3 linked regions of the Stegostoma tigrinum genome follow. The protein of the gene in region 1 interacts with the protein of each later gene in a biochemical or structural test. Links are inferred from orthologs where the notes say so. Each region holds a gene or a part of one and is shown on either strand. Other genes may lie near its edges.

Region 1 (6,940 bases):
ATTAGAGGAGGGATAATAGGGAGAGCTGAGAAAGGAGTTGAAATTGAGATAACTGAAGAAACTGAAGGAGTAACCTAGGACATAGATTAATGGATGTAGTGGAACAAACATGAGGCAGGCAGCTCAACCTGAACAGACTGCATGCGATAATTTTCTGGAGAATATGTGTACTGAACAAAGTTCATTGTTTACATGAACAGACGTTTGGCCTATCCATTTCTGACTCAGATCATTGTATCAATTTAAAAGAGAATCATAGTCTAAGAACAGGGAAATTCCAGGATAGAGGGACGAGGTGAATTCATTGGTAAAAGAGGAAACAACACCTCTAGTACCTTCCAAGACTAGGGAGCCTGAACAACATAAGGTTTTGGTTCAACACTATAGCCAAATCTCAGCAATGTTTAGTTAGGTTGCCAGCAGGCCTTTGCCTCGGGGCTCAATTTTACACGTTGAAAATATGGCTATGCTTTTTCCTTCTGTTAGCTTGTGGCCTGTAATAGTTTCCCTTGACCTATGAGTGATTGCTGGCTGAGACTGGTAGATTTCTGCAAACTCTTTTATTCACGCTTATGTACATAATATGTTTCCTGCAAGTACATCTCTCACAATAACAGGCTATTCCATCTTTGCTTCACAATCTCTTGCATCTGATTGCTGATGTCACTGTAACATCACAATATATATCCATTACGCAACAACAGTGTCTGTTAAACAGTTCTTTAATAGGAAGAGATTTATAATTATCTCTCTTGTCTATGATGTATGACCAACCTTCAGAAGAGGTCAGGGATCAGCACTTTAAAATCCTATTTCAACCATCCTCAACATGAACTGACCCTACCATTGACATGATCATAAGTCAGTGAATACTCTTAATGCATCAGTTACCAATTGTTAAAAGCTTTCCATGTGAAGTCATTTGGTAGGCAAAAGGGCCTGTTCTGTGCTGTGTTGTATTATATTTAAAACTAGCCCAGAGATGTGGTTGGATGAAAGAGAATAAAGAAATATGGGGACAAGACAGGCAAATGAAATCACAACCATTGATCATATGATGATTAAACAGGAAGGCAGGGAGGCTGGCATCCATGGCCTGCTTTACTGTATGCTATTTCTGTATAATTCATAGAACACAGAACTGAACAACACAAGAACGGGTCATTCGACCCATGATGTTGTGCCAAACATGATGCCAAATTAAACAAATCCCTTCTGCCTGCCCTTGTTCCTTATCCCTCCATTCCTTGCAGAGTCATGTGCTTGTCTAAAAGTCCCTTGAACAATCCTATCGTATCTGCCTCCACCACCACCTCTGGCAGCACGTTCCAGATTCCTACCACTCTCTGTGTAAAAACCTTGCCTCTCACACCTCCTTTGAACTTTCCCCCTTTCACCCTAAAGGCATGCACCCCAGCATTACTCATTTTAACTCTGGGAAAAAGATTCTGACCGTCAGAATGTATCATTTCTGTACCGATATATAAAATGAATATTCACATGCAACAGGCAGAGACACCTTGCTCGTTAAATCCAAAACAGACTTGAGGTTATTTTAAAAACAAATGTAGCAATTTAACTGAGCCACATTTTCCATGTTCAAATACAAGGACTATAACTTCATATTGTAACATTTGTCTCTGGCTGGCAAAAGAACAAGTACTCCTAAGGCAATTTCAGGACTTGCTTCATGAAACAATTTTTCTTTTGCAATAGTTTCTTTTAAATCCATAATTATTGGAAACTAGCTGCTGATTTAAGCATTTTTATTGCAAAATCCAAAAAGACCTTTAGCAAACACCGCGGCTTATCTTTTCAATCAACTGCGCAGGATGGCTAACAACAAGAGTTAGCATTTATATAACTTCTTCAATGTAGTGAAACATCCCAAGAAGCTTCAAAGAAACATTATCAAAAAAACTTTGATGTTGACAACTTCAATGGTATGAGATCAGGTGGACCAAAGTTTGGTTAAAGAGGTAGGTTTCAAGGAGTGACTGAAAAGAAGAAGACACGAGGCAGAGACATGGCAAAGTTTGGGGATGGAATTCCAGAATTTATGGCACAGACATTAAAAACCAATCATGGAGAGACAAAAATTGGAGATGCTGAAAAGGGCAAAATTGGAGGATCAGTGAGATTGGAATGGCTTCTTCTGCTGGAGGAATGTCTAGATCGAGGAACAGCCAGGGCATTGAAGAATTGGAAAACAAGAATGAGAATTTTAAAATCAAAATGTTGCTGCACTGGGGGTAATTGTAAGTCAGTGAGCAAAAGTGTCCGGAACTTAATGTGAGTTAGGGCATGCAGCAGAGTTTTGGATAAGCTCAAATATAGGGTGGACCGAAGATGGGAGATTGGCTAAGAGAGCATGGGAATAGTTTGAATCTAAAGATAAAAAAGGCATCAACAAAGTTGATGATCACATTAATATATGGAAGTGTAAACAAAGAACTTTTTGAACTTTAAAGAAAGTACAACTTCCCGGCATTGATGATGAAAAAAGGCATACTACCACATTCTAACATTTTAAAGCCAAACTTTGATATAATCATTGCCAACCATTGAACTGCTTAAAGTTTTACCTTGCACATCAGCCAGATAATCATTCTACACAGCTAAAAAAGCATTATTCATGGAGTTCAGTAGAATACAAGGAAGAACAAAAGAGCCTTTGGCTGTACCTACCATTCTGAAATAGTCAGCCAAATGATTTGGGGACCACTGAAGTACATCGTTACGGTTTGGAAGGTTTCTGAAAGCCATTGTTTTTTCTCCCAAGTCTCCAATTATTTTTCGCTTAATATCATGTTACAACATATAGCTGAGAAGAATAACGGGTCTTTTCTCTTCCTGTCACGCACCACAACCTTCACAGTACCTAGAAAGGAAGTGCGTAGGGTGCTGATCAATGATAATAATGAATAAGATACTTCAGTCGGTAAACATTTGGTTTACTTCTTAAAATAATTAAATGTAGGCTGAAAAGTAAATGCTAATGATGGACTTAGAAGTGAAACTGTATCATTGCCTCCTGCTGAATGTTATTTTGAGAAAATCAACACTAAAATGGATTTGACTAACTTCCTTTGTCACTTCCCCTCTTTATTCTACAGAAATTCAGCAGAAACTGTCCTCTCGCATGATTATACCAGACTTCAGTAAGGTACCTCCAGCTCTGATCATAACACAGTGAACTTAACTAAATGCAAGAGGCACATGTTTTGCTCAGCAGTGCAGAAAGACCAACTCTCTGGGATGAAATCCCAGTCATTGTTTGCTTTTTAAAAGGTATATGGTTAAGATTGAATCTCACACTCCCACACATTAAAGAAGAATGAACAGTGAGGAATTATTTTCAACCTAGAATTTAACCTCAGCTACAGTAGTTGGGTGATTATGTTGCTGACTTATAGGCTTGGCACAATCTGCTGGAGAATGTGGGGTCAGATCTCATCGTCACAGTCTGATATTTGAATTCAATTTTGAAATTCTTGTAATAAAGCTGTAACTTTAAGTAAATGTTGCCTTGAAGTTAACAATTGTCATTGAAAACCCAAGAGGCTTATTTATTTCCATTCGGGAAGGAAACTGGGTGTGTTTATAGAGTCTGATCTAAAAGTAACTGCAGTCTAATGTCCGACCCGAGAAATTATGTTAAAATGATTAGTTCAAAAAGACAGCTCACCATCAGCTTCTCAGTGCAGGGATAGGCCAAACTTAACAGTGATGTCCATGGCTAAGAGTGAATTTTGAAAAATCAAGGGGTGCAGTAGATTTATGATCAGTATATTGGACTATATTGACTGGATTTTATTTGAGGTTTCTGATGGTTTCAATGTGGAATATCTGAATTGTTGTTTATTAGCTTTCAAGAGTCAAATAGTTTCTGGAGAGAAAAGGGCACAGGCCTGCAAATAAAATTCAGGAACTATTTTAAAGCCATGCCTCTAGTGCTCATAAAATTCTCAAAAACATGTGTATTCATATATTTTCTGATAACATTTGCAGGTATTGGCTCTGACAACATTCCAGGAATCATGCTGTGAAGATTTGTGCTCCAGGACTTGCTGCACCCCTAGCCAAACTGTTCTGGTGCAACTACAACACTGGAATCTAACCGATAATATAGCAAACTTCCCAAGTATGTCCTTTACACAAAAAGCAGGTCAAATACAACCTGGCCAATTACCACTCTATCAAGCTACTCTTGACTATTATCAAACTGACAGAAAGTGTCATTGACAATGCTAGCAAGTGGCACTGGCACTCAATTTGAGTTCTGCTGAGCTTAGTCAACTCCTGGCCTCATTATAGCTTTGATCCAAAAATGGGCCAAAGACCTGAAATATAAGAGGTACAGTGAGAATGATTGTCCTTGACATTAAGAGCAATATTTTACTAAGTTTGGTACCTTAGCAAGGAACCCTGTCAAAACTTAAGTCAATGAGAATCATGGGAAATCTTTCATCTGTTCGGAGTCACACCCAACACGAAGAAAGATGGCTATGGTTGGTGGAAGCCAGTCATCTCAGCCGCAAGACCTCATTATAGTTCTGAAGAAGGGTCACTGGACTCAAGATGGTGACTGTGTTGACTCAGATGCTGACAGACTAGCTGAGTTTCATCAGCAATTTCTGGTTTTGTTTGTGTCAGATCCCTGCCACCTGCAGTTCTTCGTTCGATATTACATCACGAAAGAATGTTTGCTGATGACTGTTCAATGTTCAGCACCATTTGCAATTCCTCAGAAGCTGAAGCAACTCATGTCCAATGCAATAAGATCTGGATAGGTTTAGGCTGACAAGTGTAAATAACATTCACATCATACAAGTGCCAGGCAAAGGTCCTCTCAAAAAAAGAGAGAACCTAATCATTGACCTTGACATTCAATGGCATTAGCATCATTGAGTCCCCCACAATCAACATACTGGACATTGTTTAGAAATTGATCTGGACTGGCAATACAAATGCTGTGATTATAACAGCAGGTCAAAGTCTGAGAATTCTGCAACGAGTAACTTGCCTCATGACCCCAGAGCCCGCCACACAAGATGGGATGCCGATGGAATGCTCCCTGACTTGCCTGAATGAGTGCAGCTCCAACAACACTCAAGAAGATCGCCACCTTCTTTTGCATCTAATACTGAACTTGTACCAACTACAATAGTTTGCATTAATTGTTGAGTAGACAACTCAAATGGACTGGCTTTAGATTAATTTGAATATTGTATTTACAGCGAAGAACTCAAGAACTATTTTGACAGAAACTTGCTTCACAAAAGTTTTTAAAAATCTTTCTTTTTCCTCCCAGGAATGGAACTGTGGCACAATGTTTAGCACTGCTGCCTCACAGTGCCAGGGACATGGGTTCAATGGGGACTTAGTTTGCAAATAAAGAGGGAAAAAAAATCCTGCTTGATTGCCATCACATCCACTAACTTAAGTGTTTACCTCTCCAACACTTGGAGATGACCATTGTCTGGCACTTGTGTGATGTGTGAATGTTATTTGTGGCTGCATACCATGTATAAAATGCACTGCAGTGACTCATAGAAGTTCCTTCAGTAGCACTTCCTGAACTGTCCAGAGAGCTCATGGGAACACCATCACATGCATGTCCCCCACCAAGCCACACACCATTCTGACTTACAATGATACCATTGTTGCTTCACTGCTGCAGGTAACTCCCTTCCTAACAGTACCAATGCCAGATGGATTGCAGCGATTCAGGAAGACAACCCATCACTCAAGGGCAATATGGGATAGTCAATAAAAGTCAGTAACACCAACATGCCATTGAAGAATAAAAAAAACATAAATTTTGATCTCTGCATTTATTGTGGAAAGTGATTTTTTCATACATGTCACAGTCTAATTACACCGTCCCACCAAAAGTGGTACTTCAGTACCTGCTCTGGTGAAGTATGTAACTACCATATGGCAAGTTTACAAGAAGTTTTTCTATTATAAATGTGGTCATAGGGACAAGAAAAGATGACAGGAATTGAATGTATTTTTTATATATGACAGGAATATGCTATAGAATGGAATCATACAGATATCGAGGGTGTTTTGTATAAACGTCAAGTAATTAGTTCAAGTGTTCAGATTGTTTTCTGTAGAGAGTGAGGTTGAAGTATAATTTGAAATAGAATATGCCCAGTAGAGTTGCTGATGAGAAAATAATTGAGGAATCTCATTGTTTTTGGATACCTCTGCAAAGACAAACAAGGTAAAAAAGCGATTCAAGAATTGGGAGTTTGATGAGGTGACATGTTCTTCTGAGTCCCACTTCCTGCATGGGAGGAGGGCATGTGAAGTATCATCAGATCCTGTCCCAGATTCCTCCACTACCTATGTTTCTGTGATGCTATTGTAGCAGGCACAAGGAAGATGTTCCCTGCTCAGATGTTGGAAGAAGGCTTTGCACAAATCATAGAATCCCTAGGCTGTGGATAAAGGCCATTCAGCCCAGTGATTCTGCACTGACCCTTGAAAGAACATTATATCCTATCGCTGTATACTTATATTGATTTCACTTAACCTACCTAACTTGCACATTATTGGCCAATTTAGCATAGCCAATTTTCCTAACTTGCACATTTTTGGACTGTGTGAGGAAACCACAGCATCCTGAAGTAACACGCACAGGCAGGGGGAGAATTTGCGAACTCCACACACACAGTCACATGAGGCTGGAATCGAACCCAGGTCCCTGGCGCCGTGAGACAGCAGTGCTAACCATTGTGCCACCATTCCATATCTGGGGAAGAAAAAAAAATATTTTTAAGAAGTTTGGTTAAGCAGGTTTCTGTCAAAATAGTTCTTGAGTTCCCCACTGTAAATATAATATCCAACTTAATATAAATCTAGTCCATTTGAGTTGCTTATCCAACAATTAATGCAAGCTATTGTAGTTGGTGCAAGTTCAGTATTA
Region 2 (7,180 bases), on another chromosome or scaffold:
ATCATGTCCTAAGACAACCACCCTCCGTTTAATTTCTTTGCTGCATTTATTTCAACAATATTTCAGCTGTGCTATAAGTTACAAATTTAGGTAGCATTACCAACGTGGCTTTGCAGCAAAAGCTTTGAAGAAATTTAATTTAAAAGCATGGCCTTAATTTATATAGTGTATCTTTGAGGTATCAAAATATTGCTGAATGTAAATTAAAGTAGAGCTGTAAAATGAAGAATAATTAATAACTCTGCTTCTCGTTTCTCTCCGCTGTATCATTTCTGTTTCAATCACCTCTTAAATATTGTTTTACCTACATATATAGCCCCCAAAAGATCTGGATTCTTCACTGTAATCTGCAAACATTTGTTATTTTTTCTCTGAAAATGCTTTCAATCTTGCTGTTTTGCATCCCTTTGAGTTATCTATTGGTTAGTTTCTTACTGGTATATTTGAATATATCAGTGCGGCTTTTATTTTAGCTTTGAGCTCCATAAGTCTCCACTATTGTCCCCTTGACCTTGCAGCATTTCTCCCCATGCTTCCATAGTCATATGTTTGCTATCCACATGCTTTAGGACACTATTATACTATAGTCATTAACTGACAAAATAACTGAACAGTACAGCAAGCAACTTTGATTGGTGCCTGGGTCTTGTATTGAGCTCACTAACACAGCAGTCTGTTGAAATTGACTCAGTTTTCTTCTCCTCATCTAGTTGCTTCTTAATATTAGTGAAAATATGTTGGATCATCATCCACTTACTCAAAAGTACAAAAATAAATGCAGATGTAAGTTCATAATGTAAGCACTCTGATTCCAAGTACTTTACATATTTGTGGTATTATTGCAGCCAGTTTTAATGTTTGGGAAGGGTCACTCAATCTGAAGAGTCAACTCTGATTTGTCTCCACAGATGCTGCCAGACCTGCTGAGCTTTATAAGCAATTTCTGTTTCTGTTTCTAATTTACAAAATCTGATTTACTTCAAAATTCTCCACTAAGTGCATCCTAGAGCTCAAAGTTAGTGGTCTTTGTCTAAATGTTAAACTGAACACTAGAGTGTTCACAAGAAGACAACTATTCCCCAATGCCCATGTACTAGTCAATTTTGTTAAACCGATAGATACTCATTCTAATGTAAAATCATTCTTCAGTTGTTATGTTAAGTTGTTATTGACTGATTACCAATAAACTTGACTTTTTCATTGTTTCTTGTGCTCTTATCCATTTTCTCAGAAAATATAAAATATCTAAACCTACCAATGTAACCATCAATTCTGACCCCCCCTCATATGGGGCCCATTACCCAAGGAAGATAAAATGCCATTTGAGGCCACGTAAGTTTGCAAGGCTGATACCAGGGATAGAGGGGCTGTCTTATAAACCTTCTTAACTACATTGGGCCTTCTTAACTACATTGAAATATTGAGGAATGATTGGTGTTCTTAATGAAACGTAAAATTCTTACGGAAATTCAGAGGAGGCTTACCAGGGTGCTGCCTGGACTGGAGGGCTTATCTTATGAAGAGAGGTTGACTGAGCTCGGACTTTTTTCTTTGGAGAAAAGGAGGAGGAGAGGGGACCTAATTGAGGTATACAAGATAATGAGAGGCATAGACAGAGTTGATAGCCAGAGACTATTTCCCAGGGCAGAAATGGCTAACACGAGGGGTCATAGTTTTAAGCTGGTTGGAGGAAAGTATAGAGGGGATGTCAGAGGTGGGTTCTTTACACAGAGAGTTGTGAGAACATGGAATGCATTGCCAGCAGCAGTTGTGGAAGCAAGGTCATTGGGGACATTTAAGAGACTGCTGGACATGCATATGGTCACAGAAATTTGAGGTGCATACATGAGGATCAATGGTCAGCACAACATCGTGGGCTGAAGGGCCTGTTCTGTGCTGTACTGTTCTATGTTCTATGTTCTACGTTCTATGTTCTATGAGAAATTGGTATTTGGACTGAAGGTAATTTTATGATTCACAACTTTTGAAAATAGACAATTTGATAGAAATCCAAACTTACAGCTCAGTCCAGCAACAGACCAAAATTTTCCTGTGACTATTCTATGAGCTGAATTTGAAATTAGATAAACAATTATCCACCACTGGCAATCTCTTAAAAAATGTTGTCAGTATTCTGCGTCCAAAATATCTTGACTCTTCTGTTTGTCTGCAATATCAAATTCCTGATTTCTTTGGATAAAAATCATTAGCCTGAAGTGTTAAATTTCTCCCCAGAGTTATGTCATGTCCTGCTGAGAATTTGCAGAATTTTTTATTTTTTCAGATTTCCAGGCTGTGCAATTTTTGCTTTTGTATCAGAATTACGAGAGCGTTTATACGCATGGACATCATATTTCTTCTCCACGCATAGTTTAGAGCTCTGAAAAAGGGCCATCAACCTGAAACATTAACATTGTTTTTCACTTCACAGGTGTTTCCTTATCTGCTAAATATTTCTAGAATGTTTACTTCTTTGCTTAAAATTCCAGTGATCACAATATATATTTTGCTTTTGCTTCAATCGGCCCTATATGAGTTCGCGAATTACACTGGATCCCTTTAGCACTTTGCAACCAAATTTGATATTGTGCAGTAATTCCACTTCAGATGCATCCAAACCTGATGATGTGACCCTGACATGTCAAGTGGATCTCTCATTGATCCTCTCCATAATCAGGCCAGGACCTAAATCTGGAATTATACTGCAAATTTAGTGCAACTACAAAGATAAACTATTCAGCTATGATCTTAAATTTGGCCACAAACACTTGAGCATTTCTTATGATTCTTGTTGCACACGTAATGTTCTATTTTTTCAAAAATTAATTGAGTGAGGAAAACATAATTTTTGCAGAAGCCAGAATATTTCAATCTTCGGAGATTCTTTGATCTGTGGTTGACATTAAACACCAACATGAAGTATTTAGTTATCCAGAGTGAACTAATTAAACAGCCCCAAGAAGTGCATCTTTCAAAGCATTTTGTACTTACCCTTCTTGATTTGGCCTAGAATCTCACCATATCAGTTTCTAGCAAGTTACACATATTAGCCAACTGGCACTTTTATATATATATCATTCATTATATGCAGTTAGAACGCCACATCTGCAATTTGCAGACAGTCAGAAATGTGAGGCACTCACCAGCAACACTGTTTATGAGACGATTGACATGTGTGACACATGAGCTGAACCCTGGAACACATCCTCATTACATGTGCATAACAGGTTTGAAGTTTTGGTATCTAATTTCATAGGCTGCAATCAGCAGTCAATTTTTTAAAAAATTGCAATTGTTTAAACATCACTTTAAAAATACATGAAATGTTTCGAAAAGAACGATCCAAAATTCAGCAAATAAACTCGCGCATATATATATTCATTTTCTGCATTTTGCGCAAATGGAGTCTGAACACACAGCTTTGCCAAGGTACACCATGAGTTATTTATTGTCACACAGATCTAGAAAGATACAGTGAAAAGTGTTTTGTCAACACAATCCGGCACCATTTTGAATTACAAAAAGAACAAAAAAAAATTGTGTAAATCAAGTTCATCTTCTGACTAACGGGGCCTTCAAACACAGCTCCAGGGCATCTGCAAGGTGCCCTGGGCACCAAGGAGTCCCTGTTCTGGGTACAGTAACAATGACAGTGCCACGAGTCCATGTTTCAGGCACAACTGCGGCCAGGAGGTCTTCCTCCAGGCATCACACCCACTGCAACCAAAGACCTATTGGGCATAGCCGCAGATGACGACCTGCCAAGCCTCACTTCAGGCATCAATAACGGCCATAGCCAAAGACCAAACATCACCTAACTTCAATTGAATCGTGTGCAGATCAAGTATAATTCACTGAATACCTTCAGTTGTGAACTGGCTGAGGTGTGATAATTCTGCACAAAAAGCAAGTATCAGATCATGTCATTAGCGACATTATGGTCTCATGGACTAGTTTTGATCATCTGAAGTCATGTGACATATAATAGCCTGCCCTTTGTTCCAAATCTTTTGGGTATTTATAAGGATTTTCAAATCTCCCGGGACGTTACATAAAATCATAGAATCCCTGCAGCACAGAAGCAGACCAGACAGCCCATCAAGTCCAAGTTGACCCAACCCTTATCCTATCCCTGTAATTCTGCATTTCCCATAGGTAATCTAAATTTCCTGCACATCTCTGGGCAATTTAGTACGTCCAATCCACCTAACCTGCACATCTTTAGGCTGTGGAAGGAAACCAGAGCACCAAGAGGAAATCCATGCAGATACGGGTAGAATGTGCAAACTCCACTCAGACAGTTGCCAGAGGCTGGAATAGAACCCGGGTCCCTTGCTCTGTGAGGCAGCAGGGCTTTTCACTGAGCCACCATGCCAAGGCATGGCTCTGGGAGTCATGTTTGCAGAGTGTAGTGCATAAGCCATCACAATGTGATTGCCAGGCTGGATAGACAAAACAGTCTTTCATTAACTTCCATTGATTATCTCGATCAATTAACTTTTTCTGTAAATAGTAAAATGTATCCTGAGGATTCATAAATCCCAAGCATAAATAAATTCATCACTGAAGCATGAACAGCTGCATAGGATTTTTTATTGACCTATTGACAAATTCAGGCTAAATATTTCTCAATGAAAATGATGAATAATTTTCCATGCTATGTAGTGTCTTTGCAATTTTATATAATATTTTAGAATGGTAAATGAATAGATGTTTAAACACAATCAATTTCACTTCAATTATTATTTGACAACCTATTGTTTTATAAGTTACTGTAGGAAAAAAACCTGCTTCTATTCAAGATAACCAATTCAATCTTTGACATATAAAACTGTCAGTTGCTGAAATACACGCTGAATAGTAAACATTGTTAAACATTTTCAGTTGAGGTCATTCTTCAAAATTTAAGAACATTTTCATTCTGTCTTTCAACATTTACATTGAACTTCAGAAGCCACACAACACCAGGTTATTGTCCAACAGAACTTCACCTCACCAAGGGACAGCACTCTGAAAGCTTGTGATTTCAAATAAACCTGTTTGTCTCTAACCTGGGTGTCATGTGACTTCTGACCTTGTCCACTCCAGCCCAACACCGGCATCTCCATACATAGGATTTGACAACTTTTGCTGATGTAGAAGTATTGAATGTGCTCAATTAGGTGTGATAGAAATGCTGTAGATCCGAAAACTTTCTTCGTTCAAGCCTAGTTGAAAATCTACATTGTGAGTGGATTTTGTAGCAGCTCAATATAATCTTCATTCCCTTCAATGAAGTAGAGTGCACTCATTTTCAGTTTATATTAATCTGTTAAAAAAATATATTTCTTAAAGATGAATAAGAAACCATTAATTTATGACTGATAGTTCCTGTTATGGTTTTGTTTCTGAGTTAATGGAAAAATTTAGTTTTTCATAGAGTAGGTGTTTTTTTTGGTACAGATAAAATATTTGATTAACATTCCGAACTGCGCATTACAGGAAAATGAAGGTACGTTTAAAACAACATAACTCATTAGTAACGGGGAAATGTTTAACTTCTTTCAGAACCCAGCCAACAATTTGCTATCCTTTTAAAGATCTCACAACAGGCAATGGCACTGCCACATTTTTAATTCAAAGTTAAAAAGATCAAAAAAGTTAGAATTTGCAAAGGATTTCAAATATTCCAGTCTCAAATGAATTAATGACATGACAGAATCCACATTTTTCCACTGAAAGACGTTCCTTTGAATAGTCCAACACTGATTTTGATTTCAATTTCATTACTTTAAATAATGAAACACAAAAATAATTAGAAAAAAATCATGTTTGTTAAGATGATTTTTCCGATGAATTTGTATTAGAAGAAAAATGGTCTACGTCGTGCACTCCGATGTTCTGTTGCCAAATAAAATGCTTTAGGGGCAAATTACTGCAAATACTGCAACCTGTGCTGTGCTGGGAATCACAGTGGGTCAGGCAGCATTCACAGAGAGAGAGCAAGCTGATGTTTCAAGTCTAGATCGCTCTTCAACAGAGCTGACGTGAGGTGTGTAGGGTGCTGCATTCATGCAACAATGGGGTGTGGTGGAGTGTAGTTGGGGAAAGGGTGTTGATAGTGTAAAGTAAAATGCTTTAATAGCTGGAAAATCTTGTAGTTAGCATGTTCTTTTCACCCACCCGCCACACACTCTCCTAGAAACAACTTTTACATTTCACATTCTTAACTTGATTCCAAGCTCATTATTCCAGCTGTTGAAAATGTTGAAACTACAGTGCAAAAAGTTTGATGTCACTTGATAAAGCTGCACTTACAGCTGTATATGTGGGGTGGGCTGCATAGGTTAAAAGAAACTGATTTTGGATCTGATTTTGCAAAACAGTATCACTGAAATGGCAATATAGAGTTTACACTTTACACAGTAAGATTTTCTGACATTAAGTGGCTGCCTAACCCAGAAATCACATCCCACCATTTTTATCGTAATGTATGCGCTACGTGTGGTTTTTTAATTCAAACGGAACTTCAGAGCAACTGTGGCATAAATAAAATGTCCAAATATGTATAAAAAGACGGCGATCAGTGGATGTCATCTTGAAAATGATGTGAGTTACAAGCATCCAAAGCGGAAATCGAGAAGTAATGTTGTCTACCGTACAAGAGCTGCAAAGCCGCAAGTGAAATTTCATTTCACCAATTTTCTTTAAGTTTGAATGAATAATTACTTATTAATGCAGTCTGGCTAGAAAGTTTCACAATTTAACAGTCTTACAGCGTTAATATGGTGTTATAACATGTGGTTAAAATATACGCAACAACATGACAAGATACGCACAGGATTAGCATTATAAATAGTGATTAACATCATCGGAATTTAATCTTGCTTAGTTTTTATTGTATGGTGTTGATTATTTACGCATAGTATTTATTTGAACAGAATTCTCACATTCTCGTGACAGCTATTTAAAAATAATGAACTGTTGGCATTGATAACATTAACAAAAGAAAACTTCAACAATATTGTAAAAAGAGCAATGTTTTCATATAAATATCTTGACAACAGTAAAATTCTGACTGGATTTTCATTTATTTCAAATATTAGCCTGTATGTAATTATATGCTTGAAGTTGCCATAATGGTTACATTTCTTCAGCTTTTCTCATTAATTCATTTATTGTCCGCTATTTGTTTAGTGCT
Region 3 (7,427 bases), about 52 Mb from region 1:
GTACATTTTGTGCCCTTGCCATCCTCGGTGCTTGCTCTAAATGTTGTTCAACATGAAGGAGGACTGATTCATCAGTCAGGGGATATATTCAGCCTGTTAACAAAGTGTAAAATTGGATGAACACAGCAGGCCAAGCAGCATCTTAGGAGCACAACAGCTGACGTTTCGGGTCTAGACCCTTCTGCTTGGCCTGCTGTGTTCATCCAGCCCCACACTTTGTTATCTTGGATTCTCCAGCATCTGCAGTTCCCATTATCTCTAAGCAGCCTGTTAAGTCTGTTTCAGTCTCCACAAATCCTGCCAGGTACACTGAACTTCTCAGCACTTGGTGTTTTTATTTATGACATTACGAAAGTCATTTCAAAAAGTGTTTCAGAGATAGTAGGAACTGCAGATCCTGGAGAGTCCGAGATAACAAGGTGTAGAGCTGGATGAACACAGCAGGCCAATCAGCATCAGAGGAGCAGGAAAGCTGACATTTCAGGAAGGTTCTAGGCCTGAAACGTCAGCTTTCCTGCTCCTCTGATGCTGCTTGGCCTGCTGTGTTCATTCAGCTCTACACCTTGTTATCTCATTTCAAACAGTACTCTTTCTTTCAAAAGGTGGCACAGTAATCAAGTAAAGAAAACATGTACATGACAAAACTAACCCTGAAGAGCTATCTCAATCCGAGATTTTTTTATTGGCTTGAGTGATGTGGGCATCGCTGTCTGGGCCAGCATTTATTGTACATCCCTAGTTGCCCTTGAGAAGGTGGTGTTGAGTTGCCTTCCTGAACACCTGCAGTCCATCTGCAGTAGATAGACCTACAGTGCTATTAGGGAGGGAACTCCAGAATTTTGACCCAGTTACAGTGAAGGAATGTTGATATATTTCAAAGTCAGGATGGTGAATGGCTTGGAGGGGAACTTACAAAGGGCTAGAGTTGAGTTCTCATCAGAGAATTCCTGTAAAGGCTGAGACAAGACAAACACACTGGGATTGTAAACTTTTTGTAAAGTATTTGACTATATGTCTTACTTTTTTTTCTGATTGGATTTTAAAGCTTACTTAACATTTATTTCTACATAATATTTACTTTTTCTGACAATCTACTTCTCGATGGATTTGTAAATTCATTTGTACGCAAGTAGAAATTGTTACATTACCTTTCTTTACAGGAGAATGTTTATGAACAACATTATCACACTGTGTATTCATGTTCACATTACTTCTTTCTAAAGGGATTGGTCGACCATAGTAATTATTCTACATTATGTAATATTGGAATTATTACAGTAATGTCATCCAGGATTATTTCTTAGAATAAAATGGTATTGAGTAAGCATTAAAAAGTTGTAAACTCACAGTTCGTGCTTCAAAGGTCTGACCCAGGAACAAACAAATGAAAATATTCTGGAATTCTTAAGTCACAAATCTATGTTCTGATATTTATTCATTGAGAAAATTATTTCCGTTAAATTGTACCTGAGGGAGAATTTTAGGACCAAGTCAAAAATGCTAAATTCCTTCTCAAGTATTCATGGGATGTCGATGCTGCTGGGAAGACCAGTATTTATTGCCTATCCCTGGTTGCCCTTGTAAAGGTAGTGGTGGCTATTTAATATGTCTCCTAGTTCAGGTTTTATCTTTATAACGTGGAGCTGTCTGTGTAGTGGCAATGTCACTGGATTAGGCAAGTGTCCTGGGGACACCAATTCAAAAACCCCATCATGACAGGTTGTGAACTTTTTAAAAAAAAAGCTGGTCTAATGTTAACCACGTAGCTACTGTTGATTGTCATAAAAACTCACCTGATTCACTTATAGAGCCATGGAATCAAACAGCATTGAAACAGACCCTTCAGCCCAACTCGTCCACGCCAACCAGATTACCAAATTAAGCTAGTCCCAGTTGCCTGCATTTAGCCTATCCAGATGCCTTTCAAATGTTGGAATTATCCCAGCTGCCACTACTTCCTCTGGCAGCTCATTCCAGACACGGACCACCCTCTGTGTGAAAATGTTCCACCCTTTAAAAGGTCACTTTTGAATTATTACTCTCTGACCTCAACCTATGCCTTCTAGTTTTGGACTCTCTAACCCTGGGGAAAAGACCTTGGTGTACATTCACATTTCAAGCTGGCATCCCACTAATTCAGCCAAGTGACCACTGTCATCATTGTATTCAGTGGCAATAGTGGCACGGTGGCCCAATGGTTAGCAGTGCTGTCTCACAGCACCAGGGACCCAGGTTTGATTCCACCCTCAGGCGACTGTCTGTGTGGAATTTGGACAATAATCCCGTATCTGCGTGGGTTTCCTCCGGGTGTGCCAGTTTCCTCCCACAGTCCAAAGATGTGCAGGTTAGGGGGATTGGCCATGCTAAATTGAACACAGTGTTCAGGGATGTGTAGATTAGGTAGGTTATAGGGGGATGGGTCTGATTAGGATGCCCGACGGTCGGTGGAACTTGTTGGGCCGAATGGCCTGTTCCAACACTGTAGGGATTCTATGAAAAACCTCATAGATTTTGGTGTGACCCACCATCCTACGAGGCTTATTCAAGAGCTGCACTCCCTCAATACTGACCCTCTGACAGTGCAGCATTCCCACAGCACTGACCCTCTGACAGTGCAGCCCTCCCTCAGTACTGACCCTCTGACAGTGCGACACTCCCTCAGTACTGACCCTCTGAAAGTGTGGCACTCCCTCAGTACTGACCCTCTGACAGTGTGGCACTCCCTCAGTACTGACCCTCTGACAGTGCAGCACTCCCTCAGTACTGCCCCTCTGACAGTGCGGCACTCCCTCAGTACTGACCCTCTGACAGTGCAGCATTCCGTCAGTACTGTCCCTCTGACAGTGCGGCACTCCCTCAGTACTGACCCCCAAAAGTGCAGCACTGTTTCAGTACTGACCCTCTGACAGTGCGGCACTCCCTCAGTACTGACCCTCTGACAGTGCAGCACTCCCACAGCACTGACCCTCTGACAGTGCAGCACTCCCTCAGTACTGATCCTCTGACAGTGCAGCACTCCCTCAGTACTGACCCTCTGACAGTGCAGCACTCCCTCAGTACTGACCCTCTGACAGTGCGACACTCCCTCAGTACTGCCCCTCTGACAGTGCAGCACTCCCTCAGTACTGACCCTCTGACAGTGCAGCACTCCCTCAGTACTGATCCTCTGACAGTGCAGCACTCCCTCAGTACTGACCCTCTGACAGTGCGGCACTCCCTCAGTACTGACCCTCTGACAGTGCGACACTCCCTCAGTACTGATCCTCTGACAGTGCGACACTCCCTCAGTACTGACCCTCTGACAGTGCGACACTCCCTCAGTACTGACCCTCTGACAGTGCAGCACTCCCTCAGTACTGACCCTCTGACAGTGCAGCACTCCCTCAGTACTGACCCTCTGACAGTGCGACACTCCCTCAGTACTGATCCTCTGACAGTGCAGCACTCCCTCAGTACTGACCCTCTGACAGTGCAGGATGACAGGATTGCTTCAGGAGTTGGTCAGATTTGGCATATGTACAAATTCCAGATTAAAAGGGGAGTTAGACTGACCTCCATCCAGTCACCGATGATGTTTAATGCTGTGGAACAGAAGAGACTGAGGAAAGGGCAGGAAGAGTGATGAGAGATATTGCCATACCAGTGGATGGTTCAGCTATCACCATCACCCCCTCAGTTTGCCTCACCATCATTCCATCAGTACTGACCCTCTGACAGTGCAGCACTCCCTCAGTACTGACCCTCTGACAGTGCAGCACTCCCTCAGTACTGACCCTCTGACAGTGCGGCACTCCCTCAGTACTGACCCTCTGACAGTGCAGCACTCCCTCAGTACTGACCCTCTGGCAGTGCGGCACTCCCTCAGTACTGACAATGCAGCACTCCATCCATATTGACTGTCTGACAGTGTGTGGCACTCATGTCGGTGTAAAAGAATCTCTGCCTTTGTTTGCTGAGGATGAGAAAGTTTCTCCCTTTGATCACTCATTGACCCCCCCCCCCACCTCTCCACCCGGTTGAAATATTCAGCCCTTGGTCACATTGTCAGAATCCCTGATCACTTCTGAAGTTCTAAAGAATGTGTTGCCGGCATGATTTTTCCTCTGATCGGTTCAAAGCATTTCTCTCTATGTTAACGGGTGGCAGCAATTGGCCTGCATATAAGTTGGCGCGATATGGTTTGGGTTTTTCTCGTTTCTGCTCACAGGATTTGCAAAGGCAGATAGAAAGGAAGTGGTTTCACATTCTACCTTCATCCGAGTCTGAAGCCTGCGTGGTGCTTTTTCCTGACAGTTTCTCAGTTATCAGCATCTGTGCACCTACGCTGTGCCTAATGCTGTGACCTGCACACAACCTTCCGATCAGCTTCACCTCCCCACCACCACCTCCTCTCGATGGGGAGTGTTACCCGCCGAAAGGATGAATCCCCCTTCCATCCTTGAGGAATTTCTCATCAAGCGCTCACAGCAAAAACGAAGGACTTCACCCTCCAACTACAAAGATCGATATTTCATTCTGACCAAATCCAGGCTGGCTTACTACGAGTGCCGTACAGGGGTATGTGTCTCTACTTGTTCGCTTAATCCATCTCGCCAACAGCCTCACATCAATCTCACCCCTTCCATTGGCTGTGGCCAGATGTCAGCGTCTGCCCAGCACAGTTCTCCTTCCAAAAGGCTGCCTTCCTTCACAGTGTCCTGCCTATTGCTAAGGATTTTTCTGGCCTTGCTTTCTCCTGTGTAGCTTCTGTCACCTCTCTGTGCCAGTGGCCCTGTTGAGCGTCTGAGGCTCAGTGCCATCTTTGTCAGAACACAATTAGTTTCTCTCCATTTCACAGTGGTGATCAGCGAGTGAGTGTGAATGAGCGTGAGACTGAGTGAACTTTCTGGTTTGAAGTTCAGTCTTGTTCTTGGTTGCCAGAGTGTCAATGCTTGTACAGCGAGTCGGTGTGTTAAGCTTTAGTGCGTGTTCACAGTGGGCTGTGGTTCATTATTTTTAACTGTTACTCTACTCTCAACCGTCCTGTTTGTCTGCCCAGCCAGCTCCAGGAATGTGTTCACCTCATAATGACATGTTGTTCTGGGTTAGGTTTTATATCATTTCATTTTTTCCTTCATGGGATGACTGTATTGCTGGCTAGGCCAACGTTTATTGCCCATCTCGAATTGTCCAGAGGTCAGAGATAATGGGAACTGCAGATGCTAGAGAATCCGGGATAACAAAGTGTGGAGCTGGATGAGCACAGCAGGACAAGTGCATTAAGAGTCGATCCCTTTGCTGTGGGTGTGGAGTTATATGTAGTCCAGGCCAGGTAACGGTGGCAGTTTCCTTCCCTAAAGGTCATTGGTCAACCAGATGGATTTTTTCTGACAATCAGCAATGGATTGATGGTCATCATTAGTCACTTCATTCCACTTTCTTTTAAATTAAATTCAAATTTCGCCATCTGCGATGGTGGGATTCAAACTCAGGTCCCCAGAGTATTCCCTGGTCTCTGGATTAACAGTGTAGTGATGATATGCCAAGGCCACGTCCTTCCTGATATAGTCCAACACCAAAAACTTCAGCTCACCCAAAATTGTGAATCATAACCAGCACCAAGTCCAGTCCTTCTGACACCCACAGGGGCTCCTGATTCAATGAAACTTCAGTTTTAAAGGCCTCATCCGCATTTTCAAATTCCTCTGTGTCACCTTGCCCCCTCCCTTTTGTTGTAATCTCCTCAAACGGCTCACACATGTAAGAGCTCTTCCAACTCGGGCCTTTAATACATTCTCAATTTACACCAAGCCAACATCAATGGTATTGTGAAAACTCAAAGCCTTAAGCTCTGAAGTTCACTCCCTCACACCATCTCCCTCTCTACCCTTTCAGATGTTGCTTAAAACCTCCATATATGACCAATATTTCTACATCACACCTTACGAGATGTGGGTATCCACTGGCAAGGCCAACGTTTATTGTATATCCTTGAGTGCCCTTGAAAAAGTGGTGGTGAGCTGCCTTGTTGAACTGCCACAGTTAACCTCATGTTGGGGCACTCACAATGCTCTTAATGGAGGCAGTTCCAGGATTTTAACCCAGCAACAGTGAAGGAACATTGATTACGTTGCAGATCGGGATGGTGAGTGACTTGGAGGTGAATTTATAGGAGCTGGTGTTCCCCTGTACCTGCCGCCCTTGTCTGTCTAGTTGGCAGAAGTTGCAGATTTTTTCCCTGTGTTGGAGAAAGAGCTTTTGCAAATTGCTACAGTACATCTAGTGCATGTTATAAATAGTACACTTTGCTGTGACTACATGTTGGTGGTATAGGGTGTGGATAGTGAAGATGCAGGGTGTGATGCCAATCAAGCAGGTTGCTTTGTCCTGGATGGTGTCAAGATTCTTGAATGTTATTAGAGCAGCACCCATTCCGGCAAATGGAGAGCATTCCATACACTCCTGACCTGTCCCTCGTCGATAGTGGACAGGCTTTGGGAAGTTGAGAGGTGAGCTACTCATTACAAAATTCCCAACTTCTGTCTCATCCCCATAGTCATAGTATTTACATGGCTGGTCTAGTTCAGTTTCTTGTCAATGGTGTCCCTCAGAATATTGACAGTGGGTGACTCAGTGATTGAAATATTATTGAACATTAAGAGGCAATGGTTGGATTATTGCTTGTTGGACATGGCTGTCGTCTGACATTTATGTGGTGCAAACATTACATGCCACTTGTCACCGCAAGCCTGGATATTGTCCAGATCTTGTTGCCTTTGGACATGAACTGTTTCAGTATCCTAGGAGATGCAAGTGACACTGAACATTACACAATCATCAGCAGACAGCCCCGCTTCCACTTTAAGATGGAGGGATGAAAGACGGTTGTGCTTAGGGCACTCGAGGTTCTTGAATTCACTGTCCAACAAAGTAGACTTGTGTTTTCAGAGACTGTGAATATTGCATCAGGTTGTATCCATTGTGGGTGTGCAAGGATGTGACCAGGGCCAAAATTCTGGAGCAAGATTTGAGAGGTTCTATGCACATAGGCGTTGTGTAGTGTGTGTGTTTGTCAGCCTGTGTGTGTTTGAATGACTTTGAGTGTTGCCTGCATGCGTGATTTTGTGTATGTTTTGTCTGTGTGCATGTTTGTGAGAAGCATGTTATTTAATGTCTATGCATTAATGTCAGCCTGTGAGTGAACGTGGTTGTGTGCACGTGGATGTATATGTGAGTGTGTGTGTGTGACACTGTGAATGTGTGTATGTGAGAGAGAGAGACTGTGAATGTGTGTGCATACACGTGTGTGTGTGTGTGTGTGTGTGTGTGTGTGTGTGTGTGTGTGTGTGTGTGTGTGTGTGTGTGTGTGTGTGTGTGTGTGTGTGTGTGTGTGTGTACTTGTGTCGGTGTCTTGCGACCATGATTCTATGATGAAGGTGGTATGTAAT

The links.
Region 2: of the proteins of lcp2a (region 1) and tyrosine-protein kinase ZAP-70, one has a biochemical effect on the other in vitro, tested with the Homo sapiens proteins (2 studies listed by BioGRID). The link is inferred for Stegostoma tigrinum from reciprocal best matches to the Homo sapiens genes LCP2 and ZAP70.
Region 3: the proteins of lcp2a (region 1) and tyrosine-protein kinase ITK/TSK-like form a complex in vitro, tested with the Homo sapiens proteins (2 studies listed by BioGRID, with this or other methods). The link is inferred for Stegostoma tigrinum from reciprocal best matches to the Homo sapiens genes LCP2 and ITK.

What each region holds. Positions count from the first base shown.
Region 1 is NC_081366.1:64,043,355-64,050,294, reverse strand, and holds the start of lcp2a (lymphocyte cytosolic protein 2a), read right to left. Parts: upstream 3,025-6,940; 5' UTR 2,767-3,024; coding exon 2,689-2,766; intron 1-2,688. UniProt on the Homo sapiens protein: Adapter protein primarily involved in signaling pathways within T-cells, as well as other immune cells such as platelets, mast cells, and natural killer (NK) cells.
Region 2 is NC_081383.1:24,772,553-24,779,732, forward strand, and holds the start of tyrosine-protein kinase ZAP-70, read right to left. Parts: upstream 3,075-7,180; 5' UTR 2,992-3,074; intron 1-2,991. UniProt on the Homo sapiens protein: Tyrosine kinase that plays an essential role in regulation of the adaptive immune response. Regulates motility, adhesion and cytokine expression of mature T-cells, as well as thymocyte development.
Region 3 is NC_081366.1:12,414,316-12,421,742, forward strand, and holds the start of tyrosine-protein kinase ITK/TSK-like, read left to right. Parts: upstream 1-4,341; 5' UTR 4,342-4,419; coding exon 4,420-4,557; intron 4,558-7,427. UniProt on the Homo sapiens protein: Tyrosine kinase that plays an essential role in regulation of the adaptive immune response. Regulates the development, function and differentiation of conventional T-cells and nonconventional NKT-cells.